Diceros bicornis minor: one gene and its partners. The protein of the gene in region 4 binds, or shares a complex with, the protein of the main gene of each other region. Links are inferred from orthologs where the notes say so. Each region holds a gene or a part of one and is shown on either strand. Other genes may lie near its edges. The genes, in order: POLR3G, POLR3C, POLR3K and CRCP.

Region 1 (7,338 bases), on a different chromosome or scaffold from region 4:
AGTGAGGCCCTAAGAGGTTAGCTGACTACCTGAAGACACGCAGTTAATTGCTAACAACGAGTGGACTGGGGTAAAGCCTCAGGATATCTTTCTCCATTGTCCTTTCTCCATTACGCTGCCTGAAATACATTTCTAGGCTAGTTGAATAGTTTTTTAATCCCGTGGATGTGTTTAATCTTTACAGTGAAGTGAATTAGTAATGGCAAAATTGACTGGTTTTAAAAATGTAAAATCAGAAGCATCATCTTTCCATTTTGGGATGCCTCCTGAAAATTCCTATTCAGAATTGTTTTGAGATGGCTTGATGAGTGTAGTTCAACCATCCATGAGCTGAAATGCAAAAGCCCATTCTAATCAACTATAAAAACAACCCCGTGGCAAAGGCTGAGCTAACCTCTGAAACTTCTCCTAGTTCTAACCTTTTATGAATTATGATTGTGCTTAAATGTATTTTTCTCCACATCTCACACAGTCTTTTGCACATATTAGCTAGGTGAATAAATGTACAAACAGACGTAAGCAGGCAAGGAAACTAGAGGACGCACTGAAAGCCAGGTCACAGTATCTTTCCTAATGAATGACACCTAAGTTGCCCCAATAAGAACCTGGTAGTCATGCTGACCTCCTCTCCATCTCCCTCAATCCCCTCATCTAACAGCAGAAGACTATCAGCTCTGTGTCCTCTCTCACATGTTCACCTTCCTTCACCTCTGCTTCAGTTCAGGCCTTCACCATCTCTCGCCTAGAATTCTAATACAGAACAAATAAATTTCCCACGGCCAGACTCCCCCTTTCAAGCCACTCTCCGGTCATCTTTCTAGAACACAAACCTTGATGTGCCACTCTCCTTAACTGGCAGAGCTTTCAAGTCTAACTTTCTGCCTCTCGCCCCATGTATCCCACACTCTAGCCACTCTCAAGTCTGCTACACCAGCTCATGCCTATAGCGTTACTTCTGCCTGGGGTGCCTTCCACCTGAGCATCCCCAGCATTATTTAAGATACTATGCAAATGACACTTGTCTGTGACCATTTCCTCCAGCTTACATGGAGGTAGGCCTCTCCCTTCTCGTTGTTTCCCTAGTACTACATTGCTTTTATTACCCTTTTTAAAATCATGTTGTAATTGTCAGTTCTTGTCTGTCTGCCCAGTAAGCTCCTCAATTATCCACTCATCAAGTATTTATGAAGCATCCTCTGTGTCAGACCATCTTTCACACATTGGGAATATAGCAGTGAACAAAACAAGTCTCTGCTCTCATGGAGCTCATAGTCTAGTATGGGAAATGGAAAATATAAATATATTTTATAGAAAGTGTCAGGTAGTGATCAGTGATATAAAGAAAAAACAGGAAACATGGATGCTATTATGGAAAGGATGGTTGAAGAAGTCCTCCCGTATTCTGTAGTATTTGAGCACAAACCTGACAAAAGTGAAAGAAAGAGCCATGCCAAGGACTAGGAAGATATCCAGGGGAAAGTCTGATCCAAGCAGAGGGATTTGTAAGTGTGAGGCCTCCTTGAAGACTTACTCCCCTTTTCCTGCCCCATCACTCAGCAGAGCTTGGCAAAAGTCCAGTGAATACCCGATGAATTATTGCTGAGCTCATGGCCTACTGACGATATCACTCCATTTCACCTCCAGTGGATCCCCTTTGCCTAGACGAAAGATACCCAAACTACAGTGAGCTCTGTGCTTCCCTGAGAACGTCCTGAGGACAGCTCAAATGCCACACCCCAACAATCCCTGCCCTCTGTATTTTTATAGCACCTAGTTTTGACTTCCTCTGCGGTACAGATCCCATATTGCTTTATATTGCAAATATCTGTGTACAGATATTATCTTCCCTTAATTCTTGAGAACCCAGATCATGACTTTTTTTGGGCACAATTCTGTTCTTCACAGATCACCTAGCTCAGGGACTTGCACATAACGATAGCCCTGAACAGTGACTGGATAACTTCTAACTAGACGAGGAAACTATTCAGAACCGCTGCATCCCTACCGAAGGCTTTGGGGGTGGGGGGAGAGTACACTTCTCTTTCTAGGAAGGCTTTCTAGCAGCTGCCACAGTAAAGGTTTTCCTAATTATCTTCTATAATGCTGTCTCATGGGTGTTTTATAATTTTTCCTGGCTGAGTAGGGAGGTTAGTTAAGTCTTCAAGGGAATTTTTGACACCTAAATAGATGTTTCAATAGCTGGGAAGGGTGGGGTGGGGCGGGGACAGGGACATGGTGTTAATAGTGGGGGTGATTTATGTCGCGGGGGGGGGGGGGGCACACCCAGTCAGTATCCACTTTTCCTGTCCTCACAAGGTGCGGCTGCCTCCACCTTTCCTTAGTTGAGCCTTTCTACCAACTTTCTTTGCTCTCTTCCAAGAGCGGACAAAGTAACCGAAAAAATGGAGGATGGGGGGAGAAATACAGAATTTCATTATGTAGAAGAGAAGAAAATCCTTATTAACAACCCCTCTCCCACGATACAGGGTAAAGTGCCAACAGTTAAGAAAACATACTGAATAGTCTGTCCTTAGCTGCAAGTCTGCGGCAATGACTCGTGCCTGAACCAACCCTAGTCATCGGATTTGAAAATCTACCATCGGTAAGAGCACAAATGCCCTTCTCACTCACTGCAAACAGTCCCAAGAAGTGGAGACTAGGTAAGATCTGGAAACGACGACTTTAAAAGATTTTGAAGGGACTAGGAAAAGGGGAGGTAAAGCTATGTCCCAACGCCTCTCAATCCAGAAGCGCTTTAATGAATCTTCATCCCCGACTTCCCCCACCTTCTCCATGTGCCTCTTTAATTACCCTCTACCCTCTCCATCTCCTCCCAGGCCCTCAATCGCTTGCTCTGTTACCTGCTCACTAAGTCTCGAGGCTTGGGCAACACTGCACAGCCGAAGCGCCGGCCGGCAAAGAACGGGTGCGGACCGAGGACGCCGGCTCTCGGGTGCTGCTGGTTCCACCTCTGGAGAAGCGTGCTCCGCCCTCCACGCGGCCTCAGAGCCGCGTTCGCATCCCGACTAGTTAGCCCCGCCCACCCCCCAGCGAGGCCCCGCCCGCTGGGCCAAGAGCTTTTTAGCCCTCGGCAGGCACCGTAGTCTTCCAACCGGCTGGACCAGACTCTTTCCGCGCCGGCTGAAAGTGCGCATCGCGGCGCGTGGTTGGTGGGCGGGCCTGCAGCCTCCCACGCCTCGTTCCTGGCCTCTGCAGTCAGGCCCCCGAGGTGGGGACCGTGTCGCCTTCTGTGTCTCCAGTCTGCTGCAGTGGCCCCTGCGTGAACGCTCCCTCCTGCTGCGGCTCCAGAGGCTGCGATTGCTCCAGCGCCCGGGGCGGGCTGAGCACCTCTGTTTTCTGCAGACCAGGCGGGAGGGTGCGGTGGCCGCTCCGGGCAGCGTCTGCGCGCGTCCTTCCTCCTCCTGGTTCTCCCTCGCCCCTCCCGCATCCCCCGCCCCCTCCTGGCTCCGCGCCTCCTCCCAGGCTGCGGGCAGACCGCTCCACACCGCCGCAGCGCCTCGGGTCTGGACAGCCTGCGAGGGGCACACACGCCCACACCCACTCCGCCCGGCTGCACCCCTGCCCAGCATGTCGGCGCTCGAGTGGTACGCCCACAAGTCTCTGGGCGACGGCATCTTCTGGATTCAGGAACGCTTCTATGAGTCGGGCAACCGCGCCAACATCTGGCTGGTGCGCGGCTCCGAGCAGGACGTGGTGATCGACACGGGCCTGGGGCTGCGCAGCCTCCCCGAGTACCTGTACTCCTCCGGCCTCTTGCAGGACCGCGGGGCCAAGGAGGACGCGGCGTGCCGGCCGCTGCTGGCTGTGGCCACCCACGTGCACTTCGACCACTCCGGCGGCCTCTACCAGTTCGACCGGGTGGCGGTGCACCACGCCGAGGCCGAGGCGCTGGCTCGCGGGGACAACTTTGAGACCGTGACCTGGCTGTCCGACAGTGAGGTGGTGCGGGCGCCCAGCCCCGGCTGGAGGGCCAGGCAGTTCCGAGTACAGGCGGTGCAGCCCACCCTCATCCTGCAGGATGGTAATGGGCCCTCACGGGCGCGCGCTCTCACATTAGTGGAGGGGATTGGGGCGAAACTGGCCGAGGGATGCATGCTGCAGACGTGCGTGGCTGTAAGGGGCTTGTTTTGTCACCTCGCAGGAACACCACTTCTTTTTCTCCCTTTCCTGCGTAAAAGCCCCCTCCACGGGAGCCAAGGCTATCGCAGCCTTCCCTTCCAGAGACCAGCTCTGGCACAGTGTAGCAATGCCGCGTGCTCGAATGAAAGCCGGCCCCACCCCCTGGTCAGTTTCTTGTGTAAGGTACAGTAGTAACACTACAGAGACTTGTGACTAGGGATTTCCCATTCTTTTCCCGAACACTTGTCTGACGTTTCCAGGCGGTTTTCTAGCGAGCAGACTTTTAAGGAATGACGCCTCCCGGAGAGTGCTTGTCATGCTCTGTGCTTTTGAGAACTGCTGACTTCATCCGCCTTGGTCAGCGGTCACCGCCGGGAAGGAGCAATTCCCACCTGTAGGCTTAGAAAGCCTTTAGAGAGCAGTGGTTCCAATCTGCTCGTGCATCCTTATCTTCCAGATAGGTTTCTGTGCTTGACGTTGCCTCACGAGAGAGCAAGCTTGATAGTGAACATGAAAAGTAGAATATGGCTGAGTCTTAACATGATGAGATACCTGGTCTGGTTGAAAGCAAGGCCTGAGAAAGATTAATAAGGAGGTTATTTCCGGTGATGGGTGAAGTATGTGGACTAAAGCATGGGCCTCTTTGGCTCTGTGAAAGACAGGATGGGGATCAGAGAGAAGTTATTGGAATAAAATAAAATAGAGTAAGGCCCCAACTCCCCCAACCTTCCCAACCCCAAATAGGTGCTTAAATAATTGAGCTGATTAGCCACAGCAGCAATATATGTGTATTAATTTCCTTTTTTTCTTTTTAGAATACTTTTGTTGATTTCATTTTATCCTCACAACACATTTGAAGTGACGTGGCTGACCCCCAATTAAATCGCTTGCCTAGAGTCCACAGAGCAAGATAGTGACAAAAGCTAGGGTTTGAACCAAGGCACAATAGATCAAAGTATGCAGATCATACCCCATAAATCCTACCCCATAAATATATTATGGTAATTCTGAGTAGGATGCGAAACCCCCTTCTTTCCTTTCTATCTTGAAACCATTTTAATTGCCACTTTAATTTATTAAAACGTTCCTCTAAAAGGTAGAAAAATCCAGTTGCTGCGGTACAATAAGGCTCACTTTATGACCAACCAATATGACAAATTATGAAATATTTTACAAAAATCAGTTTATCTTACAGATGAGATCTTGATCACTTGAGATATAAAAATACAAAGCAAGATTCTGTACTTCACACCCCACCCAAAAAGTCTTTTCATTAAAATTTTAAATCTAAAGATTAGGAAAAAAATGAGTTTAGATGGGAGTCTTACATTACCTGATAATTTGAGGTAAAAATTACTGTATTTGTTGATAAAATTGATACTTTTAGAGATAGGATTTCCATGCAGTTGATGGGTATTCAGACTAAATTAATTCTGGCACCCAGACCAAAAAATGTTTACATTAGTATTTAAAATATATTTAAATTTTCTAAACGAATAAATTACTTTTGATTTATTTACTTTTGCTGCGCTGGTGGCAATAGGAAATCAATGGTGAAAGAATGATAGGAATTATTATTTTGTAGATGAAGAGTCCAGGCAGGCCCGAATATCATATCTGAGGGCACGTAGCCAGTTTGGGAAAGAGCTGGGACTAGAACCCAGGTTTCCTAAATCCCAGTTGTTGGTAGAATTACAGCATTTTGTTGCTGCAAGGGGCCTGCTAGCTCCCTGTGTGGTGCTTTAAGCCTTTGAAGGTGTGAAAAGAAAGCTTAATATTTACCAAACACTTTGAAGGTGATAGTACTGTGTTAAATCAAAAGTTGTTTTTCATTAGGAGCTAGATGCCTCACCTGTCAAGTTGTATCTAATTTCCTATTTTCTCAGGAATATTAATTTCCTGTCTCTTCTCAATGGTGTGGCCTGCTAACTTGTTATTCTCATAATTCAGATGCCTGGAAAGAGATAAAAAATATTTGTATTAAGAATTCATACACAGTTACACACACATGAGCAGCGCATACCCAAACAACATAAAGTCTTCATTGCTTTGGTTAGAACATAAGGAGGCTGAAGTCATTAGTTTATATTGCATTTCATTTAGTGAATTGATGATCACCTGTCATGGAGAAGCATAAATCTATGCACTGTATCACTAACCTAAAAGCTGATTTGTAAATGAGGGACAAAGAAGACAGGGAGAGAGCATCATCTAGTGCATCATCCTTGATGGAAAAACAACTCACCCTACTAATGGTGAAGTAGTATCTTCCTATAAGAAGACAGCAATAAACCATAGCGTGATCTAGCACATTCTTCTTGAACAGGCACACATCATTTTGCCTATTTTTCACAACACTCAAGTGATATAAAGTGCAGGCATTTTGGCCCTTATTATACATGTTTAAACAATTTGCCCAGAGTCACAAAGATATTAGAGCAGTTTTTTCAGATCGACTTGAATAATTGGAGAAGGTTAAAAACAAAAAGGAGATTCCAGAAAGGTAGCACATTGAACAGACACATCTAATTTGACTCCTGCCCAAAACCCCGCTAAGAGTGCTGTACAGGGACCGTGGTTTGTCTCTGTTTTAAGTATAAATCCACATTGACTGAGGAACTGTTTCAGATGCTGGAGAGTAAATGTGATGACTGAGTTAGCAGTTTTACCCTATGCCAGCAATGGGAAATCAAGAGCCAGTCCAGTTTGCATTGCAGGGACCTTCCTGCAGGCTCAGGAATTGGCAGTAGCTGGTACCTTAGGGGCAAAGGAAAGAATACTAAAATAAGTAGAGTTGATTGAAAGCCATTTAAGACGCTGTTAAAACGCCAGAACCCTTCTTCCTAAGTGAATGCCCACCCAGTTAGTTTGTTCTCTGGGGAGAGTAAAACAGAGGGGTTTCTTGTTTGAGGGATGCTAAGTACTATTGAGCTCAGGGGTTCAGTATGGAAAATAGGAGGAATAATATATATATGTATGCCTACTAGTTTCCCAGAAGGATGAGAGCCAGGCCTTTAGTAGGAAATTGGTAGGAAATTGGAAGAATCTTATCTGGGAAATCTGCCTAGCCCCAGAGGAAAGACTAAGATGCTGATCCTTGAGTAATCCTTGGCTTGATCTCTCTACAGTGAAGCCTAGGTCACTAGGTCGCATGCACGAGCTTCAAGCAGCCTTTTCATCCCCCACTCTTAAACAGGC
Region 2 (7,172 bases), on a different chromosome or scaffold from region 4:
CCCTAGTCTTATCAATACCAAAAGTAGTTTACTCTGCATATGATTTATCTCACCTGCTTAATGATGATTCTATCAGACTCCATCTCATAAGGTAATATTCCCTGGCCTTGATGTAAAAGAGGACAGAATGACATCTTTACATTCCATAACACAGCCCTCTGTGGTACTGCCCAGTCATTCATCAATGGAGCACAGTAACTGTGTCAGTCTTGACTTCACAGTGTCTCTCAACAGTATAGCCAGGTGAGGCAAAAGCTTCTGCTGTGTTATGAAAATAATTTTAAGTTACTTAAGTATTTCTTCTATCATTTGATGACCAAAAAATACACAATGCCATTTTACCTAATCATATATAAACTTGAAACTCTGGGGTTTCAGACCATATAATCAAAATCTCTTATTTTAAAATTCAAGTTTAGTACTCACTAAATTTTACTAAAATTAATTTCACTGTAAATAACAAAACACTCCCAATAAGAGAAAGAAATTTCTAAATCAATATTCACTTCTAGAATGGAGACTCTTTTTTGATGCCTAACAGATAACAGTACCACTGAATACTATATTTTCATTTTAAAATTCCATTCACGGTTTTCCCTCATTTCTTAATATCGTCTTTCTAAATGAAACGTTTTTCTCTTATCTGGGAGGATTCATACCAAAGACACACAAAGCTAAGATGGATAAATCAGGATTAGCAATAAGGAGTGTTATTTCACCAAATTAATTCAAACGAATGTGGCTTAACTTAACAGCATAAGGCATATTTCAATCTCTCTCAGAAATTATAGCCAAAACTATTTCTTCTAATTCAGACACGAAAGTTAACTGGGTCTGTGAATCTTTCAGAGTAGTAGGACTGACAAGATAAATGATAAACAAAAACCTAAGAGCAGTTTCAGGGCTGAACATTGGGTAAACTATTGTTATTGCCTGTGCACACTTCCAAATGTATCAAGAAGTGCTGTATCCTAGCGATTGGGAAACGGAGAAAAAGTAAGAGTGGTAAAAACCTTGCAACCTGGTCCCACTGAACACAATTATGACTCTGCTATGTGGTGACTAAATTGGCAAGAGATAAGACGGCTCTGAAGCAGTCGTTCCCACTGATTGAGTGAAGAAACCTACCGAGTAATAGCTCATTGAAAGCTGATGTAAAACTCCATACGCAGCCTCACGTGTTCAGGGAGGACAGCGCTCGTGGATGATGGTTCTTGTGATCCATTAAGACAAAACAAAGAAAAACTTCATTCACAATAAGCTGAGTCTAGCTATCCTCAGAAAGACATCCAGCTTTCCCATAACATTTGTCCAGTTGAAGAAACAATGCATGCCTAATGTATACTGAGTACTTACAGTGAGGGAACCTTAAGTTTATATAAAAAATTATTTTCAAAAAACTTTTCAATGTTCTCCTATATATATGAAAATCATACTACTGACTTACCAGTGTTTGAGTTGGTTTTTCAGTAGCAGAGACAGATTTGTACTGAACCAGCCACTTACTGACCTGGTCATTCTTACAACCAACATTTTCAAGATGACAGTCTGGGGTTAAGGATATACAAATGGCCATGAAACAAGATGCAACTCACTGGGTCATCTACAAATCAAAACTAAACCCCTGACCTCATTGCACCTTTTCCTAAAAATGCATAACAACAATGATTTACTAAATATTTCTCCCTTCTTCCTCAACTCACTCTTCCTTTTCTACCTCAGTCTATGCTATCCTCCTCAATCTGAATTCTGCCTATCCTGTAGAACTCAATTTAAATCCCATCTCTCACTCTTTCCCTCACCTCACCAATGTTACCATATCCCCCTCTCTCTGAATTTGAAAGCACATATTACCCATCCTCACTCACCTTACACTGTTACTTTTTCCATGATTGTCTTGTCTTTCCAACAAAATTGTGAGCTCCTTAAGGGCAGGAACCACATATTCCTCAGTTATTGCCTTCAGAATATCCAGTACAGAACCTTGTATGTATGTGTAAATATTCAATTACATTTAATTGTGTTAGGCCTTAGTTTACAAATCAGACATTACAGATAATAAATCAGAGTAAAAACATCAATAGCCTCTCCTCCGGGCATCAAACTAAGGCTTAGAAAAACATCCAAAAAGTCTTTCAAATTATCACTGTTCAAGAGCACTCTGAAGTGAGGACTTGAGATGGTAAAAAGAAAAGATATAATAAGTTGTGGAAAGTTAGACTGTTTTCTCACTCTTTAAGGCAAATAGTGAACAGCGACTTAAAGATCAGTAGAGCTACGGATACAATGTTCAACAAGGCATCACATTCAACAACATGTCACTGGTCACACACACACTAGCTCAATTCCAGACTCCCTTTCTGTGGTAAGAGAGTTCTGGAGGCTCGGATGTCCACTGGAAAAAAACAAAGCACCTGCTCTTCCCAGCACTGAAACATGGCAAAAAGCACATACACACACCGCCAAATCAGCAAGCAAAACTAGCCTGTAGATGAAACTATGACTTTGAAGTTGGCGGTAGGGCAAACAGAAAGAAAAGAAAATACTATAAAAGCCTGAAAAAGCACAACTTTTAGGTGAAGAGGCTACAATATTCTTCAGGCACTTATTCACAAGACTCTTTGTGTTTCTAAGAAATAAGACATACAGACACACTTTAGTAGACTTTCTCATACTGTACCTGAGACACTATAAGTCTAGAGGTAAGTTGTTATGAAGCCACCCTGTCAAGACTGAACCTGATTACTTCTAAGGAAAAAAACAACCATAACTAATTCTAAAGATGGGTGGCCAAAGGTAGGATTACCATTCACCCCAGTGGGTCTCCCTGCAGTAGTTACAACCCGACCCAAAACAGGGCCTGGGTTTGGGGTGCTGTAGCTGGCTAGCATCCTGCAGAAGCGCTTTCTTCACAACCATAGCACTACCCCTCTAGGTGCTAACAGTCTGGCAGAAACTGGTGAAAACCAATTTTATGTCAGAGGATGCAGTCCCCAGCATTCCGTCCTGGATCTTTCTATTAAATGAAGAGACAAAGCGGCGCAGGGGGGCGGGTAAGGGAGGTGGTGCCAAAGACACTGGCAGCAGGACAACAAAAATAACCAAGTTGAAACAATATGTCCTGCCTTCTTCCTAAAGCCATTTCCTTCAATAGTGATAGGGAGGCAGGCAGTCTGCAAGTCATTACACACGGCTGTTTTCACTTTCACAAGAACCCTGGAAACCAGTGAAGAGCAAAATCCCCCTCTCTGCCCCACAGTTACCTTCCAACCCTCTCTCTTTCGTGCTTCCTTCCTTCCTTCCTTCACTAGAGACAACCGAACAGGGACAATCCTCATCAATCCGCTATTTTGCTTCACTGAGGATGGGGGAGGGGGAGGATCTGGTGAAGTAGAAAAGCAAAGAGGAAGGTGAGAAGCAACAGCGGAAAGAGTATCGAGTAGGAGAAAGAGAGGTCATAGTGAGAAGACAAGGTGAAGAAGAGTGCAAGAAAACTGAGGGGAGAGTTGTCAGAGGAGAACTAGCTAAGAAAGACAGAAAGATGGGGGGGGCAGGTAACGAGGGGAGAGGGAGTGAAGGGCAGGTCAAGCATCCGAGGGGGAAAAAAGGCCGGACGGGAGTTATGGAGCCAGGGCCGGGACGCCCAGGGTTGGGGGCCAGCGACGGGAGACCGTGAGCAGCAGGTATTGGACAGACCGATGTCAGGGGAATCAGGGGAGTGCGGGGATCTTAAGACCCTGTGGACATCGGGCCGAGGAACTCACGCCGATGCCGAGCGCAGAGGACACGGGGCTCTTACCGGTAGTTTGGGGCTGACCTCGCCCTTGCAAAAGTGGCAGAAAAACCGGTGCGCGGCGACAGCGGCGCCTGCGCCCGCCCCGGCCGCCGAAGCCTCCGCCATTTTTCTCTTCCGCCGCGGCTGTCCGAGAGGGCAGCGGCCCGTCCCTCGCCAAGCCACTACCACCCGGCTGCGGTCGCCGCCTCTGCCGCCGCCGCCGCTTCCTCAGTGCGGCCGGCCGCTCCAGAGCCCGCCTCGGTCACGTGAGTCTGCCGAGCCCAGAGAGGCGACGGCGTCGACTGCGACCCCGAGGCCCGCCTCCCAGCACCAAAGAGGCGCAGGAAGGAGAGTCCGCCCGCTGCGCCCGCCCGCCGGCTCCTCAAACAGCTCCTCGCCGGTCCTCCAGCCTTCCAGCGAGAAGAAAGAAAGAGTGTCCCCGGAAACCACCGAAACTCTGAGGGTAGAGCGGCACACGTTTTTCCCTTTTCCCCGTCCTCCTCGGTGTCGATTCTCCTGCAAGAAAGGGCCGTGGGCTCCCCCTCTGCCCCGGCGGCTAGCAGGAGCCACATGAAACCGCCGGCCGTGGGGAATCGGCGGCGTTAGATTGCATTGACCCAGAGGTTAGTGGAAACTGCTGTCTGAACCAAGGGACCAAGTCCAGAACGGGAACCTGCGTGAAGGGAGTGAAGAGCCAGGAGTCAAGCTCCTTGAAAATCCTTTTCGAGGACGGCAGAGGGTCTAGGGATGCTTCCCCAAAGGCATGTGGTTGGCCTACTGAGGCTGAGAGGCAAAGACTTGGCTTCTGAGGAATTGAGAGAAACAAATGAACAAACCAATGTTTGGTAGCACTTGGGATGATAAGGAAGTAATTATATAGCCAACTACGTCTGTTTGTGTCTACTTTGTCAAGGAGTAGAAATTTCAAAATTAAATACTGCCCTGCAAACAACATACTTCATCTCCTATTTGAAACACCCTGTTGAGAAGCTCTCCTTTACCTCTTAATTTCTTTTTCTATGTTGTCATGTCCTTTATGGACTGGGAATGACACTGCCTGTTCACTCCCAATGGGCTGTGAACAGTGGCCTTAATTCTTCCAAACAATGAAGTATAGAATCTAAAGTCTGTGACAGATAGCAGATCCATCTACACCCAACCTTTAAAAAAAAATAGAGGAAAAAAATTAAAATCACACATAATTCCATAAAGATAAATTTGATGTATAGTCTTCCAGGCTTTTTTCTATACGTACATGTTTTTCTTTTCTTTTTTCACAATAATTGAATTTTCCTCGACATTTTGCTTTGTAACCTGCTTCCTTAGTGAACAATTTTCTATGCTAATACATACTATATTTCATTTTAAATGTTGGCATAGTATTCCATCATATGAGTATCCCATAATGGATTGAATTAATCCCTTATTGCTAGACATTAGGTTGTTTCCAGTATATCAGAATTCTAAAGAGAACTACAGTGACATCTTTTTATTATTTGTTTGGAACGATGTATTCAAAACAAAATTATTAGGTCGAAGTTATCCAAGATTTTAAGGCTTTTGATCTGTAATGTCAAATTGCCCTTGAGAAAGTACATGAATTTACACTCAGTAGCTCTACTCCCAACATAAAAAAAAACTTTCCATCATACAGTCCTTTTTGTTTCCAGCTCTCAGACTCCTCAGTACAATGACTCAAGCAGAAATTAAACTGTGTTCTTTGTTGCTGCAAGAGCATTTTGGAGAGATTGTAGAAAAAATTGGAGTCCACCTAATCAGAACTGGCAGCCAGCCACTAAGAGTAATTGCCCATGACACAGGAACATCACTGGATCAGGTATGTTTGGATGACATTAATTTGCTTTCATTAATTTCTTTTATCTACCTTTGAATATTGTTACTTCCCACCCCACAAAATGGAAGAGGGAGAAAGCCTGCCCTGGGATCAGAACAGTGTTATTTGCGGGGAAAGAGGATGAGATGTAGGCCCCAAGGTTCTGCTTCTCAAACTTCCTGGTTCATCATGGCTTCTTAGGCAAATCTTTGCTCTTCCTATGCCATACCTCATTTATTCATAATGAGTCTGTTAATCTCAGTACTACTTTTAAGGAATGAGAATAATAAAGGGAAAGTACATTGTACTTTGGAAGATGAAGATCAGAGGAAACATGAGCATCGTAGCGAGGAATCTTCCTGATTTCTTCTATGGACATGTGATTCTTATTAGCTCTTTCAATGGAGGGAGGGAAGAAGCACAGAGATTCTTATCTAGCCATCTCCTGGTGCTGAGTAAACTGTTGGACAAAATTGCCTGCAATAATGAGCGGTGGCTTCAGATCTTTTCCCTCTTTCTTTTGGGTCCTATCTAGGTCAAAAAAGCTCTTTGTGTCCTCATCCAACATAACCTGGTGATATATCAAGTGCACAAACGTGGTGTGGTGGAGTATGAAGCCCAATGCAGCCGGGTGTTGCGAATGCTTCGGTATCCCCGGTACATCTATACTGCTAAAACACTATACAGTGACACTGGGGAGCTAATTGTTGAGGAGCTGCTGTTGAATGGCAAAATGACAATGTCAGCTGTTGTGAAGAAAGTGGCAGACCGGCTCACAGAGACCATGGAGGGTCAGTACTGTATCCACTGCTGTTAGCAAAAGCATAGATTGGCTGGCTGCAGGAGTAGACCCTCAGCTGTCTTAGGCCATCTCACCTGCCTTTTTCCTCCTGTTGTACAGATGGCAAGACCATGGACTATGCTGAGGTGTCAAACACATTTGTGCGACTAGCAGACACACACTTCGTGCAGCGTTGTCCCTTGGTGCCTGCCACTGAGAATTCAGACTCTGGGCCACCACCACCTGCCCCCACTCTTGTCATCAGTGAAAAGGACATGTACCTGGTTCCTAAACTGAGCTTGATAGGTAAGGAATTTTGACCCCTGGACCGTGACTTGCCCTAATTGTTGATTCTTCATCAATGATTGTTAAATGAATGAATCAATCAATTGGGCAGTTACCAAGGATTTATTCTGTGCCAGGTACTGTGGTGTAAAATGATAAAAAAAACTCATAGTCTCTACCCTTATGGTACTTAAGTCTAGTATAGGAGACTTAGATTAATCAAATAAACCAGATAGATATATAACTAACAAACTTTGATAAGTACTATGAAGGAAAACTGTGAGGTATTATGAAAATATATAACGGGACCAGCTTTATCTGGGGATTTCGGGCACATGCTTCTTTGAGAAAGTGGCATTTGAGTTAAGATTTGAAGCAGAAGTAGGAGCCAACCAGTGAGGTAAAGTATGAAGGAGTACAGAGGATAAACATTTTTGGCAAAGGCAAGAGTATATAGTGAGAAAAATATAGGATATTTTAGGAAGTAAAAGAAGGTC
Region 3 (7,555 bases), about 28 Mb from region 4:
TACCTGCTGAGTGGCGTCACCGGTAACCTGGCCAGTGCCATCTTCCTGCCGTACCGGGCAGAGGTAAAGCTGCCCCCAGGGTGGGGAGCCCCGTATGCACCTACTGCCCAGCCTAGGAGCCTCTCCATTGGGCTCCTCAGTCCTGATGTCTCTGGGCCACGAGAACTGGGACGGGGACAAGGTTCTGGGTCTGAAGGGGCCTGCTCAGCCCCACCAGCTCACAGATGCCCACTGCCCCCAGGTGGGCCCAGCCGGCTCGCAGTTCGGCATCCTGGCCTGCCTCTTCGTGGAGCTCTTCCAGAGCTGGCAGATCCTGGCCCGGCCCTGGCGCGCCTTCTTCAAGCTGTTGGCCGTGGTGCTCTTCCTCTTCGCCTTCGGGCTGCTGCCCTGGATCGACAACTTTGCACACATCTCCGGCTTCGTCAGTGGCCTCTTCCTCTCCTTTGCCTTCCTGCCCTACATCAGCTTCGGCAGGTTTGACCTGTACCGCAAGCGCTGCCAGATCATCGTCTTCCAGCTGGTTTTCCTGGGCCTCCTGGCTGGCCTGGTGGTCCTCTTCTATTTCTACCCCGTCCGCTGCGAGTGGTGTGAGTTCCTCACCTGCATCCCCTTCACTGACAAGTTCTGTGAGAAGTACGAGCTGGACGCTCAGCTCCACTGAGCTGGCTGGGGCACTGGGGCCACGTGCTCCAGCAGGCTGGAGCCTCACAGGTCGTGGGCCTCCGCCTGCGCATCGTGGGGGCCTGTTCCTGGACACAGCTCTCTGTGCCTTGGTCACTGCTGTTGAACCTCGCGCACTTCTGGGCATTTATTACACTACTTCCCCTGGTTACCTGCTAACTAGTCTCTTGACGACCACCCCATGTGGCCAATAAATGGACCGGGAGCGTTTTAGCTGCCACTAACGTGACCAAGAGCTGCCTCCTCCTTTCTAGTTTCCGGCTGGGGGTTATGGAGGGAGATCCCACTCACAGTTCCCCAGAACAGGGCACTAAGTGTCAAATACACCTCCCCATAAAGTCCCTCAGCCAGGGGAACCCCCCTTGTGCCGCTTCCTCAAAGTAACTGGCAGGCGACAATGGGACAGGGCCCCGTGGATGCAATTTCCCCACACACCGAGAAGTGCCCCCACCCCAACCCTCCCTGCCCGGCCAGCAGCTCCCACTGCAGTCCCAGGCTGCCTCCCTTTCCAGGAGCCAGTGACAGCCCTGCTGCAGGTGAGCCCTGCACGAGGCCGGGCGGGGGGGGGCCCTCCACAGCTGTGCTCTTGGCCGCGGGCCTGTTTCCCCACAAGCAGCGTCAGAAAGCCCCCACTCTGCTACTTCCTCTTGCTGTCCCAATGCAGGAGCAGGGTCGTGTGGTGTGGGGTGTGGCATCTGAGAGCTCGGGCCTCGCCACCACCGTTCTCCGCCCTGGCTCCCCTCTGTGATGGGGCAGTGCCAGTTCCTCCTGCCCCAGGTACTGTGGCTTTTGGACTTTTTAAACTAAGAAACAAACAGATTTATTCTGTACACAGGGCCAGGCCCACAGCCCTGTGGGATTGGCCACGTGGTCAGGGTGTTTCGGCCCAGGGAGGTCAAGCTCAGGCCATGAGCACTGGCTCACCCGGTCCTAGTCCCGAGAGCCCAGGGTTCATGCTGACAGTTCCAGTTGGGCAGCTGGGGTGAGGCCACTTCGACACTCTTCTGTGAGAAAGGGACAGTGGCTCCAGACTTCTTCCTGCTGGGGAAGAGCTCAGCCACCAGCACACAGAGTCGTCCTTGTCTGGAGGTTCACTTTTGCCTCAGCTTTTTGATGAAGGACACCTCATCCCGATTCCGGATACCATAACTGAAAGAGAAGAAAAGCTGTCAGCTGTCTGATCCACAGAGGGGACGTTTGTGACCCCTCCCCTGAAGCCTGTGAGGGACCAAGAAAGAAGAGGTGGGAAGCATGTGGCATCCAGGAAGGCAAGGAGGTGGTAGTGGCTGTCCTTCCACAGACCCACACTGTACCAGCGGGCAGCCTTTCAACTCCATGGACACCCTTATCTCCCTCCTGCTGGCTCTGCAGCCCTGAACCGCCACTGTGAGAAGCCGAGGCCCCTCACCCCTGCTCTCCCTCTCCTTCTGCTGGCAGGGAGGCCCCGGAAGCTCCCTGCAGGAGGGTGTCAGTCCAGCCAGGGACTCTCCTTGTCTCACACACTCCCCAGGGACTGATTTATGATCCCTCCTTCCTGAGGGGCCCAGGCTTCTGGCCGAGCATGTGGAACTACAGGCAACAGTCCAGATGCCTCCCTGCAGCTCAGGATGTGGCCTGAACTCACTCTCGGAGCTTCTTCCTGTCCTCTGTGAGCTTCTCTCCTGCAGAGATCAGATGGTACGTCCTCCACACGTAGGACCTGCAAGATGGGGACTCAGGTAAGCCGTGAGCAGGGTGAGCTGGACAGCTGGGAGGCCAAAGCTGTGTGTGAGAAAGCCTCCAGGCGCTCGGCTCTGTAGGGACCAGGGCAGCCACAAGGGGGCACTGCTCTCAAAACGCTGTGTGGGGTGCCTGGCAGCCAAACATTCTGCTAATGAAACGGGAGGACTGACAGCACCCAGGTGAGGAGGGGTGGGGCTGCTGACAGCTGCACCATCCACAGCTAGGGAGACCACTTCCAAACACACTGGAAACGCCCCAGGTGTCCCCAAGTGAAGACCCACCCAGCTGCCTGTGCAGTGTGATATGGATGAGGAGCATCTGAGGCAGGACTCCCAGGCCCAGGAGCACCCACCCGCCCAACGGCTCGGGGGGAGCCCATCGCTCCAGTTGGTACACTGTAGTAGAGCCAGGTGGTTAAGAGCGCACATCCGGCAGGTGTGCATGTGGAGGCCCACATCAGCCCCCAGGAGGGCTGCAGGGACCCGCTGCTCCACTCACCAGCTGATGTGCTGAATGCCTCCTTCACGCTCCTGCCTGAGCTGCACGTATCTCTGGATGGCCTTCTTCAGATCCAGCACCGTGGCGTTCTGTACGACAACCACGGCTGCAACCGGGGGACACAAACGGGAAAAGATCCACAGTGGGAACACAGCTACAGCCTCAGATGACAGGAGAGGACTCAGAGGCCCGACTAAGGCTGAAATCCGGGCAGGGTGGGCTTGCGGCTGCTCCAACACCCCCCGGGCATGGCCCTTGCGTTTCCCACTGAGCAGCCCTGCTAACCTCTTGCCCCTGTGAAGCTCAGACGGCGCTGCCCGGAGGGAGGGGGCGGCACTTACGCATGACTTCTCCGTCCATCTTGCACACTCGGACTGTCATTGCTTGGCCGTACTCCAGTGCTATCTGGGAACTGACCTCTTCCAGAGTAACCTGGAAAAGACCAAGGGTGGATGGGGGAGCCCTGGCTCTCTACCGCCCCGAACAACAACCAAGAAAAACAAGCTGACAGTGTCCAAAAAGTGGGGCCACGCTTTACAAATACAAGAAAGGGACAAGGTTCTTACACGTTTCCCCACTTGTCACTCCACTCTCATGTTCCATCCACACTTTCTGTTTAATGCCTAAAGTGGACAGAGGCTCGGGAGGACGCAGCATAGACACAGACCAGGGGAACGAACCAACGTGAGGATCCACCCCGGGATCCTCTACCCAGAGGCTGGACAGTCCAGTATGAGAGCCCTGGATCGCCAGGATCCAGGCCAGGGCCTCGGGACAAGGCTGAGGCAGGTGTGCAGAATTTACCGGGGCGCCAAAAACATGGTAACGATAAACATTTCAGTGCAACTTTCAAGGAAATAGAAGTTAACTTAAAAACCCCATGATGGGCAAAGTGACAAAGACTTAAACGCAGGACGGTGCCAAACCATATTGAAACTTGAGAAGAGAAACCAGTAATACTGGTCTGGTTTTCATTTACAATTTTATTACTTTGTTTACCATCGGCTTTCCTACACTACCTTTGAGTTTTAAAAATGTCGTAGTAAAACATCCCGTCACCTGACCCCATGTATACCGGGTTTTTGGCGCCCCTCTGAATTCTCGCTCGCCCCACCCTGGGCCCGGCCCGGGTTAAGACCCCCCGCTGACGCCCAGAGGCGCCTTCCTGAGGCCTCCGCGCCGCAGCCCCAGCGGCACGTCGGGGGGCTGTCCACGCCCCGCCGCCCGCCCCCCGGCCCGCGCGCACCTGGATCGGGAGGTCGCAGAGCAGCGGGTCCTGCACCACCATGGCAAGACCCTCCTGGAACACGTCCACCGCCTCGGAGTGCGGCAGCGCCTCCTCTTCGTCCTCATCTTCCTCCGGCCCCGCCGCCGCCACCTCCTCCTCCAGGGCGCCCCGCCGCCGCCGCACCCGCCCGCACCGCGGGTCAGCGCGACGGAGGGGCGCGCGCGGGGACCGCAACCACAGCCCAGCCCGCAGCGTCCAGGGACCAGGCGGCCTGCCGCAGTGCTCGCTGGGAGCGCGAAATCGGCGCGTCCATTGGCGGGCCGAGGGGCGGGGCGGCCGCCAGGACCAATGAGAGCTCGAGGCGGGCCTGCGTCGGCGGGGCGCGGCGCGGGCGTCTGCTGGGAGCCGGCGGCTGGGCAGCCGCCATGCTGCTCTTCTGCCCGGGTTGCGGGAACGGGCTGATCGTGGAGGAGGGGCAGCGCTGTCACCGCTTCGCCTGCAATACCTGCCCCTACGTGCACAACGTCACCCGCAAGGTGCGCCCGCCGGCGTCCCCTGCGTCCTCCCTGCTCGCCCCGGGGTACCGTCGGGACCTCCCCCGGGCTCCCCGCGCTGTGTCCGCGGCAACGGCCGCAGTGACCTTGTGACCGTGAGTCGGATCAGGGCCGTCCTGTGCTCCGAGACCCGCGGCGGGTGCCCAGCGCGCCGGGGGGAAAGCTGAGGTTCTCCCGGGACCCCCAGCCTGCTCCTCTGATTTCGCGTCCTAATGCGTCCTCTTGACCCCCAGCGCCGCACGGAGGATCCCCCTCGTGCACGGGCACCGCCGTCAGGGCCTTTGCGCGTGTTTTCTGCCCCGTTCACCCTTCCCCGTGTCTTTAGTTAAATGATTACTTAAAATTGCAATCTCTCTCCGTATTTTATCCTCCTTCCCTGTTTTGTTTTTGCCATAGGCGTCATTGCGTTGTAATATAGTTTATATTTATGGGCGTTGTTTATTAATACTGGGACATAAACGGTAGGAAGGCAGGATTTTTCTGTCTCGTTTCCTCATGTTTTAGTCTGAACAATAGAATGGGACCTAGAATGTTCAGGACGAATGAAGCACAGTGTATTATTTATGCTTGTTATTTTCACTTGACAGTACACCTTTTTAGAAGTAGAGCACGTTGGTGATACCTCATTCTTAATGTTTGCATACCACTCCATGGGTCAGCTGCGAGGTGGAAGTTTAGAGTTTGAAAATATGGCAAGAGTGAACTCTTATGTAACCCTGAAATTTCAAGGATGTCGGGGAAAACTTGGGCAAGAAGCCAAGTGTGACCTGCTCTGAAAGCTCTCTGCCTCGGGGGGCGCTGGGCCACCCGGCCAAGTGGTGCTCTTTGACTTCAGTTGTATTTGTCTCTCTCATCTGGGGTTATCAAGTATCTTAGAGGTGTGGGGGAGGAGGAGGGTCACACCTAAGCCAATGTTTTCTTCCTGCTCTGGTGCTTCATCCAGCCCTGGCAGAGATCTTCTCTGACTGTCTCTTCTCTTGGGATCATCCCAATCGTGGATCCTCTAAATTCCAGTGGAGCGTCCTGCTCTGTGATAGCAGGAACTTTGTTTTCGTTCAGTATCGCTCCAGTCTGTGCTGAAGGAAGGAAGTGTGGGGAGACACTTGAGGTCGATATAGTTTGGTGTCCCAGGTTTGTGCTGTTCACTCACTCAGAGGCTGTTTGTTAGGTAACAAGTCGGAAGTACCCGAAGCTGAAGGAAGTGGATGATGTGCTTGGTGGAGCAGCTGCCTGGGAGAATGTCGACTCTACTGCAGGTGAGAGGGAAAATTTTTCTGTTACTGAGCTTTTTTTAAATATGAGGCTGCTGACTGTGCCACTCCACGTCAGGATCCGTGATATACTTAGATGAAGTGGGCTTCTAAAAATAAAAAGTGTGTTTGTTTTCTTTTTTAATAATTTATTGGTTACACACACAGTCTTGGCACAAGCCTTGAGTCATGCAGGCCTGAGTTAGAGCCTTGGGGTGACCTCGATGGGTGTCCCTTGACTTCTCTGGGGCTAATCTATACTCACAGATTATAAGAGCATAAAGTGAGTTAATACAGTGTTTGGCATATAACGGGTACTCAACAGGTGGTAACTATGATGATAGCAACAATGACAGGAGTAGTAAAAATCAGAGTCTAAGGAAGAAATTTGGTTTTTTTGTTCTAGCATAGATTTTTAAAGAGTTAATACCAGGGAACGTTAAACTGCAGTCTCAGTAAAATAAGTGTTTATCTCAAGTCTTGATTCGTTTCTGTTAGAGACAGATGTGACCAAGGAAGGAAGAGGAGAGCCCTAGATACAACTTGTACTGAGAGGAGAAGAGCTAACTCGTGATTAATGCTGTCTTTTTCCCTCATAGAAGAATATCCAAATCTGCTATGTTAAAAATTTAGGTTTGGCAGAATTTGTCATTAAAAGATGAATTATGTACCTAATATTGAAAATGTTGTTTGAGACTGTTTGAAGTTGTTTACCTCAAGAGCAGGGTCAGGTTCTCAAAGTGAAATCACTTTGAAAGTAAAGGTGTGCCTTGGGGCACTCTGAAAAGGTGTGGATGTGTGGAGGGATCTTGATAAGAACAGTCTGAGAAACTCCTGCCAGAATGGATTCCTAAATACAAGGGGAAGCGGATTGGTCATCTGTCGGGAGCTCCTCTGAGAAGACAAGAGGGCGTGTGCATTGCCCAGGTGAAGGAGATGCACTTATTAGGGGCATCTGCAGGGCATGGATACTGTAATGCATATCGCGCCATAAGTCACCTTTCGTGTTATGTTTCTAACCAGTCTTCAATCAGATTTGAGAAGAAAAGTGGGCCCCAGGGAGGGTAGGAGGAGTGTTTTCAAGGTCACAGTTCTCCTCTATTCTCTCAGTGTGAGAGCATAGTGAGAAGGATACCACTGTTTGTGGCCTTAAATTTTGGTACAAGGTATCCTGGGCAAGGGATGCCAGATGAGCAAGGGGGCGGGGTCTTTGCCCCCTTTCAAGTAACACCTGCTTCTAATAGATCTGTTGGTCACAAGCATCCTTTTTTTTTTTTTTTAATGTGGGTCAATTGTTTGCTTTTCTCGTTGCCAGAGCCATGTCCCAAATGTGAGCATCCTCGTGCCTATTTCATGCAGCTTCAGACCCGCTCTGCAGACGAGCCAATGACCACCTTCTACAAGTGCTGCAATGCTCAGTGTGGACACCGCTGGAGGGACTAGGGCCAAACTGGTCCAGCTGCATCAGTGTCTGCTTACCCTGTTGCAGGGTGGATTCCTATCCAAGAGTGTGAACTGCGTGTCCTGAGGGTCTTTGCTGGTGTGGGGGAAAGCTACCCCTTTCAGGATGGCTGGCCAGGATGTCAGGAGATGCAGCCCGTCTGCCAGGCAGGAAATGAGCT
Region 4 (7,944 bases):
GATGGACTACAAAGTCAGCAGTGGAGATGGTGAAAAGTAACTACATTCAAAATATATTCTGAAGGTGGAGATGACAGGACTGGCTGATGGACTGGATCTAGGCGTGAGGAAAGAGGGCTAGATTTTTGGTATAAACAACTGGATGGATGATGAGAGAAAAGGGCTAGAAATATACTTTTGAGAATCATCAGCAGATAGATGGGTAAAATGACCAAGGGAGAGAGTGTGGAGAGAAAGGGTCCCAGGACCAAGCCCTAAGATGCCACGAGATTTAGAAGCCAAGCAAGAGAGGAAGGAGGAGCCAGGACAGGAGACTGAAAAGTAGTCTTTGATGTAGGAGGAAATCCAGGAGAGCATGTCACAAAGCCAAGAGTCTCTAGAGCTTCTGTATCAATTGCTGCTAAGAGATCAAGAAAGTTGAGGCCAGCCATAAAAAAAGACAAAATCGTCCCATTTGCAACAACACAGATGGACCTTGAGCGTACTATGTTAACTGAAATAAACCACACAGAGAAAGACAAAAATCACATGATTTCACTCATATGTGGAAGATAAATAAACACATGGATAAAGAGAAGAGATCAGTGGTTACCAAAGGGGAAGGGAGTGAGGGTGGAGGGGTGGGCGAAAGGAGTAAAGGGGCATATATGTATGATGACAGATAAAAACTAGACTATTGGTGGTGAGCACGATGCAGTCTATAAAGAAACTGATATATAATAATGTACACCTGAAATTACACAATGTTATAAACCAATATGACCTGAATAAAATAAAAATTAAATAAAAATTACAAAAAAAAAACATTTTCATAGCAAAAAACCATTTTTACCTATAGTCATTGTTGTAGGTATGGTAGGATACAAGTGGCAAATTTGGAAATTCAAAAAAATCACAAACCATAAGATCTTTAGGCTTGTCTTTTTGAACTTTTATTTTAGTTCCACTGTTGAGACTCTATCACCCCATGCCATAAGAAAGCAGACAATATGCTATGGAATCTTGAGCTTCCAATACCCCATTGCTTGATACAATGACTTTGAGGTCCTTGGATAAAATGTGATATATGCAAATTCAATATGTTGCTGTTACTACTGCAGGAGTATAAGTAATAAAAGACTGTTATTAGTACTTAACGAGTGTTCACCTACGAATGTTCCTGAACTGATGGATTCCAAGAAAGAAACTTAGGTTTTACTGAATTGTTCCTTTGAAGGAAGTCAAAATTTATATTTAATGCACTTTATAATCAATGGTGTCTAAATGCCTCCGTCAGTGCCTAACTGCATACACAAAAATTAAACCTTCTTTCTATAATCTACCATAATAAATACTGATGGTATTTCTGTTATTTAAACACGTCTTTAGTTTTCTTGTTCATTTTCTGCTCTGGTTTCCAGCCAGTGTTCTATGTAAAGACATATTAAGTTACAGGAAAATGTAATCTCAAAATATTGTTTTTTAACCAACTTGCAGTGGTACTAAAAGCATTATATTTAAGTCAGTAAACAATGGAATATAATTTTTGAAATTAGAAGGTATTCTCTTAAAGTTTATTATAATCAATAAAACAACCAATCAATCAACAACAACAAAAGAAAGTTGGTGCCAGAAAATCAACTTTTGGATTTGACAAGATGCAGGATTCAGGCGATCCTCACAAGCCCGATTTCTGCAGACTGGTGAGGATGAAAGCCCAACAGAACGACTGGGAGAATCAGAGGATAAACAACACTTCTAAGAAGTTTTCTTGTGATGGAAAGCAGAAATGGAGCAATAGGCAGGCATGAATGCGGGAACAAGGGATTTTTTAAGATGGATAACTAAAGCAGGTTTGAATGCTGACAGGAAATGCTCTAGTAAAGAGGGAAAAATTGATAATGATGGCTTGGGCTAGAGTAATACAAACAAATGTTTTTCAAGTTGCAGATTAAACCCCATTAGTGGATTGCAAAATCAATTTAGTGGGTCAACATTCACCTTTAATAAAAGAGGAAAGACAATATCAGAGTGTACTGCCTACAGCAAAGGTAAGTGTTTTTTCATGAAGCTTTCATTTCAATTACATATATATACTGTGTTCTTAAAAAGTATGAAAAAACAGTACACATAACCATTAAAACACGAGGCAAAAGAACATAAAGCAAAATGTGAGTATTAAATAATCAGTGCCAAAGAGAACACAAAATAGGTATGCCTACAAGTCCATGTCAACCACGTAAAAACCCACATGCAGAGCAGCTGCAAAAACTTCCACTGGCACGCGGTACAATGAGCAAATATGGAACAGACGATGTGGAGTTAAATTGTTAGAACGGCTTTTACTCCCTCTACACACGCGTACACACCGCGCTGTTTCTGCGGTCCCAGTCCTGGCTCAAGCCTTCTCCCCACAAAACCCGCCCCTCCCCTCGCAGGGCTCGCTGCTGCTCATCAAACTCAGATACCACCCCTTCTGAGTCAGGGCTCCCCGGGAGCCCACTGCCCCGGGTAAAGCTTCTCCGTCTCTCCTCCAGATACTTCCAGGGTGGACTCGGCCTTTATACCTTCTAAGTCCCCCCCTCGGCTACCGGCCTGGGCTCCCCACTGTGACCCCGAAAACGCTAATCAATGAATGAAGGAGGGAGCAAGCACAATGAAAGGCAGCCGGGCCTAGCAGCACTCGGCCCATGTCCCAAGCACAGGGGGTGTAATGGAGCCGAAGGTTCAGAGGGGCAGAGCGAGAGTCCCTTTCTTCCCCGCCGCCCCGACCCACAGATCCTTCCAGACTGGGCCGGCGCCCTCCCCTCACGCCCCTAGGAGGGATCGCCCCAAGCCCACGTCTCTGGCTCCCAGGGGTTCTAGCCGTCCCCAGCTGTAAGCGTCAGACAAAGCTGGGAACGCGCCCCGGTCTGCTTACACTTCCATGTCGAGCCCGTCTCGTCGCCTCCAACCGCCAGCAGGGAACGAGCCCCACACCGCACCGCCACCTCTCAGCGCCGAGCTCCCAGTCGCCGGCTTCGCGCGCCGCGCTGCACGCCGGGAGCCTGGCGCGGGGACCGCCGCGGTGCACGCCGGGATCGCCGCGCGGCACGCCGGGAGCCTGGCGCGGGGGTCCCTCCGCGCTACCCGGCTCTGCTCGTGGGCTGGCGTCTGTGCCCTTCGCCCAGCCGGGCCTCAGACTGTTAGGCGTTTGCAGACAGAATTTATTTCATGTGTCGTTGATTTCGTATATTAGGGTATTAATAAATGAAGCTTCCAAAGACGTAATCTGGTTAGCAGACCTTTGCAGCGTTAAAATCCCGGCCCTGAGAGAGAAGTGACGGAGGAGGTGGGGTGGAGTGGAGGCGGCTCTAGGCTGCTGGAAATGTTCTATTTCATGATCTGGGTGTTGGGTACGCGGGTATGTTCAGTTTCTGAAAATTCAGTGAGCTGTACACTTAATGTGTACCTTTCTGTATGTATGTTATAATTGAATAAAATGTTTTAAAAGGTGAGAAAAAATCTCAGCCTCCCTTCTCTCTGTTCCCACTCTTTCTTGAGAGCTATTTGGCAAAAAAAGGATAAAAAGCCTGAACGACAAGCACACGGTCTCTGACCTTCCGGCCTTTTGGGACTTTACCCAAAGGGAATTGTCACATGGTTGAAGAACGACGCATGTGTAATGACGTTGTTCCTCAGAGAGCGCCTAAATGCAGAAGAATGGGGAATTGATAAATCATGTTTCAGCCGTACCGTATAATATTCAGCCGTGAGAAATCAGGTAGCATATTTGGTATGCTGGGGAAATGCTCAAGATAGGATTTTTAAATGATAGAAAATGATGTGGTGTGACCCTAATAATCTAAGAAAAAATAATGCATAGGAAAAAAAAATACCTAAGGGTATGGAAGATAGAACCACCTAATCTACTACATTTTGTCTTTTCAAAACCATAGGGGTGGGAGGTTGATGCCTATTATCTTCTGGACTTTTTGGTATGTTTGAAATATTTCTTTCTTATTTTTTTTTTTTTGTGAGGAAGATAGGCCCTGAGCTAACATCTGCCAATCCTCCTCTTTTTTTGCTGAGGAAGACTGGCCCTGGGCTAACATCCATGCCCATGTTCCTCTACTTTATATGGGACGCTGCTACAGCATGACTTGACAAGCCGTGTGTCGGTGAATGCCAGGATCCCAACCAACGAACCCGGGCTGCCGTAGCGAAGTGCGCACATTTAACCGCTTGCACCACCTGGCCAGGCCCAGTTTGAAATATTTCTTAAAGCCTGGGGGAAAATATGCCAAAATATTAACAGTGGCAGATGTCTTTAGATGATGAATCAATTGCTAATTTTTTTCTGCTTTTTTATACTTTTGTGTTCTATTGGTTATCATTTACTAAACTCATTCTCTTTGCAAGGTCCTTGCTAAGCACTTTGTTATTCCATGGTATTGACAGTTAATGGTGCAGGCTTTGCAGTCAGACAGCCTGTGATCCTGTTTACCTCAATCACTTTCCTAGAGGCTGTTTGACCTTGGGAGACTACTTAACCTTTCCTAACCTCAATTCCTTAATCTGAAAATTATAAATCTGTTAGATAATCCTTATAAATGCCTGGCACATAGTAAGTGCTCAACAAATATTAATTACTGTGACAGTACATCCGTGTCACTCTATGAGATAGATTCCATTGTTATTCAAATTTTGCTATTGAGGAAACTGAGGCGGACTTGGAGAGATTATGATTTGCCCAAGGTCACTCATCTAGGAACTTGTGCAGTAGGGATTCAAACCCAGGCAATCTGAACAAATACAGGAGGTGTATTAAATTGTTGATAGTGACCGATAATTGGATAAAGAAAATGTGCCATGTTAATACAATGGAATACTATTTAGCAATAAAAAGGAATGGAGTACTGACACATGCTATAACATGGATGACCCTCAAAAACATGCTAAGTGAAAGAAGCCAGACACAAAAGACCATATATTGTATGATTGCATTTATATGAAATGTCCAAGAATACACAAACCTATAGAGACAAGCAGTACATTAGTGGTTGCTTAGGGCTGGGAGAGGAGCATGGGAGGTGATGGGAATTGACAACTAATGGATACCAAGTTTTCTTTTGGGGGAAACAAAAATGCCCTAAAATTAGATTGTGATAATGGTTGCACATCCCTGTGAATATGCTACAAAACATTGAATTGTACACTTTAAATGGGTGAATTGTATGGTATCTGAATTATATATCAATAAAGCTGTTAGAATTTTTTTAACTGGTGTTTGCCTGTGGGGATTGAATTGGAAGAGAAGGGGAATTTTTAACATTTAACTTCACACATTCAGAATTTTAAAAAGATTTTTCAATGCACATGTTGTTATTAAATTACAAAAATATTTTTTTAAAAACAATGAATTTACTTAAAAATCAACAAGTAAATAAAAAGCCACCCCAGACTCAAGGGCTTGATTCATATGGAGAGTCCCCTGTACCTCCCTGGAGGAGAGCGGGCCCCACGAAGCGCTGAAGATGCTCATCGTGTTAGTCACTCAGCAAACATGTAGTGATGGCCCATTCAGTGCCAATGATACAACTGTGAATAATACACGCCTTCTGCCCTGGCCAGCTCACAGCCTAGTTGGGGAACCAGCTCTGGATATCAATAACTACAATACACTGTGTTTAAACTTGATGGAGCAGGTGAGGGAATGACTAATGAGGTGGAGAGGCGTCCCAAAGCCAGGGGAGTTTGAGCTGGGTTGGGGGAGGAGCATGCAAAGTCAAGGCTTCAGGGATGGGCTTCCAAGGAAGAGAGGCTAGTGCGTTTCGGGGCCCCGCAATAAAATGGCTAAGCTGCGGGTTCTCCAAGGGAGGACACCCTAGGACTTTGGGGACCATATGCAGTCACCTAACCTATCCTGTAGGGGCAGCCGGGTAGTCAGGAGTGGGGCCCTCTCCCAAGGGAAGGCTGCCCAGAAGGAGCCTGCACAATGAGATATCCCGGCCAACAAAGCTGGGCCGGTCAATGGCTGAAACTCCTGTTGACCCGTCCCCACTCAGCGCCTGCCTGCAGCTTTCCTAACTTGAAGCTGCCAGTATTAGGGATGCCTGCCTGTTCTGCACTAGACTCTTCCTTAGTTATTTTGATGCACCAAGGTGGAAATTTCAGGGGAGAGAGGCCAGGCAAGGTTTTCACTCTTCTGAGGCAGATAAGTCCTGTACAGCACTCAGCTCTCAGCTGAAAATGGGTGTCATCCATTGTCTGAACAACTCTGGCCCCCCAAGCTGGTAATGAGGATGGACACAGAAGCTTTGCCTATGGTCAAGATTCTGAAGGAAACACTAGCAAAATAGAGTGGGGTTGTGATCCCTTCCTTACTATGCCAGGAGCAGGAATTGTACACTCTTGGTGACATCCAATCATGGGTTGTGTTCCTGGTGACACATAGGAATGAGGCAATCAAGTGTGGTGGTTACAGATGTGGGCTCTGTAGCCAGACAGGCTGAGTTAAATCCAGGCTCTATCACTCACTAGCTGTGTGGCCTTAAACAAGTTTCTTAACCTTTCTGTACGTTGGTTAACTCATCTGTAAAACAATAATACCAGTGTTCTCTACCTTACAGAGTTGTTGTGCTTAGAATACCACCTGGCAAGTGGGAAGCATGGGGGTGGGGGGGAATGTTAACTATTATCCTACATTTCCAAAGCAAGGAAATAAGATTTGAATGAAGAAAGCTTTAAGTATAAGATAATATGTGGATGTCATCTAGTTCTCCTCATTGCAGATATGCTGTCCATCTTCTTGGGAAAACCATGAAGCCCTTCATTACCTATCTTGTCTTGGAACAGTTGACATGTATTGAGTTAGAGGCTTCGAGTAATAGAAATTGTTACATGGCAGTGCAGAGCTGAGGAAGGGACGTGGGGGCGGGAACAAGTGGTCAGCCCTATAGGGGCATTTTCCTGGAGTCTCTGTGTATAGTACACAGAATAATGGCTCCCTAAAGATGTCCACACTCTAATGCCCCAGAACCTGTGGATATGTTACCATACATGGCCAAAGGGACTTTGCAGATGTGATTACGGTTATGGACCTTGAGATGGGGAAATTGTCCTAGATCATTTGGATGGACCCAATCTAATCACATGAGTCCCTGAAAGAGGAGATTCTTTCCCAGCTGATGTCAGAGTCAGAAGAAGATGTGACTATGGAAGAATGGTCAGAAAGATGTAATGTTGCTGGCTCTGAAGATGGAAGAGGGGAGGGCTGGCCCTGTGGCTTAGCGGTTAAGTGCCCGCACTCCACTACTGGCGGCCCGGGTTCGGATCCCCGGCGCGCACAGACGCACCATTTCTCCGGCCATGCTGAGGCCGCGTCCCACATACAGCAGCTAGAAGGATGTGCAACTATGACATATAACTATCTACTGGGGTTTTGGGGAAAAAAAGGAGGAGGATTGGCAATAGATATTAGTTCAGAGCTGGTCTTCCTCAGCAAAAAGAGGAGGATTAACATGGATGTTAGCTCAGGGCTGATCTTCCTCACAAAAAAAAAAAAAAAGATGGAAGAGGGGAGCCATGAGCCAAGGAATGTTGGCAGCCTCTAGAAACTGGAAAAGGCAAGGAAATAGATTCTCCACTGGAGCCTCCAGAAAGGACTACAGCCTTAATTTTAGCCCAGTAAGGCCTTCTAACCTACAGAATTGTGAGATAGTGAATCTGTGGGGTTGTGTGTGGTCATTTGTTACAGCAGCAATAGAAAACTAGTACACTCCCATACAAATCCTTTGTTCCGTGTAGACTGTCCTCCTGCTTATTCACTGTCCACAGTCAAGAAAGGCTGCTCTCCAGCTCTGCCCCCATCTTTTCTGCAGGAGGCTGAGTAGCCATCAAACGGCTCCTAGACAGATTCAAGTGTCTCAAGGCATTGTGTGCACACACATGCCTGAGCACACCCAGAGCTCTGGGCCCCTCTAT

The links.
Region 1: CRCP (region 4) and POLR3G share a complex: the UniProt entries of both Homo sapiens proteins name them as parts of the RNA polymerase III complex. The link is inferred for Diceros bicornis minor from reciprocal best matches to the Homo sapiens genes CRCP and POLR3G.
Region 2: CRCP (region 4) and POLR3C share a complex: the UniProt entries of both Homo sapiens proteins name them as parts of the RNA polymerase III complex. The link is inferred for Diceros bicornis minor from reciprocal best matches to the Homo sapiens genes CRCP and POLR3C.
Region 3: CRCP (region 4) and POLR3K share a complex: the UniProt entries of both Homo sapiens proteins name them as parts of the RNA polymerase III complex. The link is inferred for Diceros bicornis minor from reciprocal best matches to the Homo sapiens genes CRCP and POLR3K.

The regions. Positions count from the first base shown.
Region 1 is NC_080740.1:16,948,114-16,955,451, reverse strand, and holds the start of POLR3G (DNA-directed RNA polymerase III subunit RPC7), read right to left. Parts: upstream 3,001-7,338; 5' UTR 2,862-3,000; intron 1-2,861. Other genes in the region: acyl-coenzyme A thioesterase MBLAC2, read left to right, coding at 3,589-4,042. UniProt on the Homo sapiens protein: DNA-dependent RNA polymerase catalyzes the transcription of DNA into RNA using the four ribonucleoside triphosphates as substrates.
Region 2 is NC_080743.1:53,359,995-53,367,166, forward strand, and holds the start of POLR3C (DNA-directed RNA polymerase III subunit RPC3), read left to right. Parts: upstream 1-4,171; 5' UTR 4,172-4,398; intron 4,399-5,445; 5' UTR 5,446-5,465; coding exon 5,466-5,612; intron 5,613-6,144; coding exon 6,145-6,400; intron 6,401-6,510; coding exon 6,511-6,696; intron 6,697-7,172. Other genes in the region: E3 ubiquitin-protein ligase RNF115, read right to left, coding at 3,800-3,901. UniProt on the Homo sapiens protein: DNA-dependent RNA polymerase catalyzes the transcription of DNA into RNA using the four ribonucleoside triphosphates as substrates.
Region 3 is NC_080765.1:48,215,666-48,223,220, forward strand, and holds the start of POLR3K (DNA-directed RNA polymerase III subunit RPC10), read left to right. Parts: upstream 1-4,539; 5' UTR 4,540-4,554; coding exon 4,555-4,665; intron 4,666-5,851; coding exon 5,852-5,939; intron 5,940-7,248; coding exon 7,249-7,376; 3' UTR 7,377-7,555. Other genes in the region: RHBDF1 (inactive rhomboid protein 1), read left to right, coding at 1-63, 242-661; SNRNP25 (U11/U12 small nuclear ribonucleoprotein 25 kDa protein), read right to left, coding at 1,773-1,830, 2,306-2,380, 2,902-3,007, 3,243-3,333, 4,148-4,189. UniProt on the Homo sapiens protein: Core component of RNA polymerase III (Pol III) which synthesizes small non-coding RNAs using the four ribonucleoside triphosphates as substrates. Can mediate Pol I proofreading of the nascent RNA transcript.
Region 4 is NC_080765.1:19,908,559-19,916,502, forward strand, and holds the start of CRCP (DNA-directed RNA polymerase III subunit RPC9), read right to left. Parts: upstream 3,001-7,944; 5' UTR 2,908-3,000; coding exon 2,900-2,907; intron 1-2,899. UniProt on the Homo sapiens protein: DNA-dependent RNA polymerase catalyzes the transcription of DNA into RNA using the four ribonucleoside triphosphates as substrates.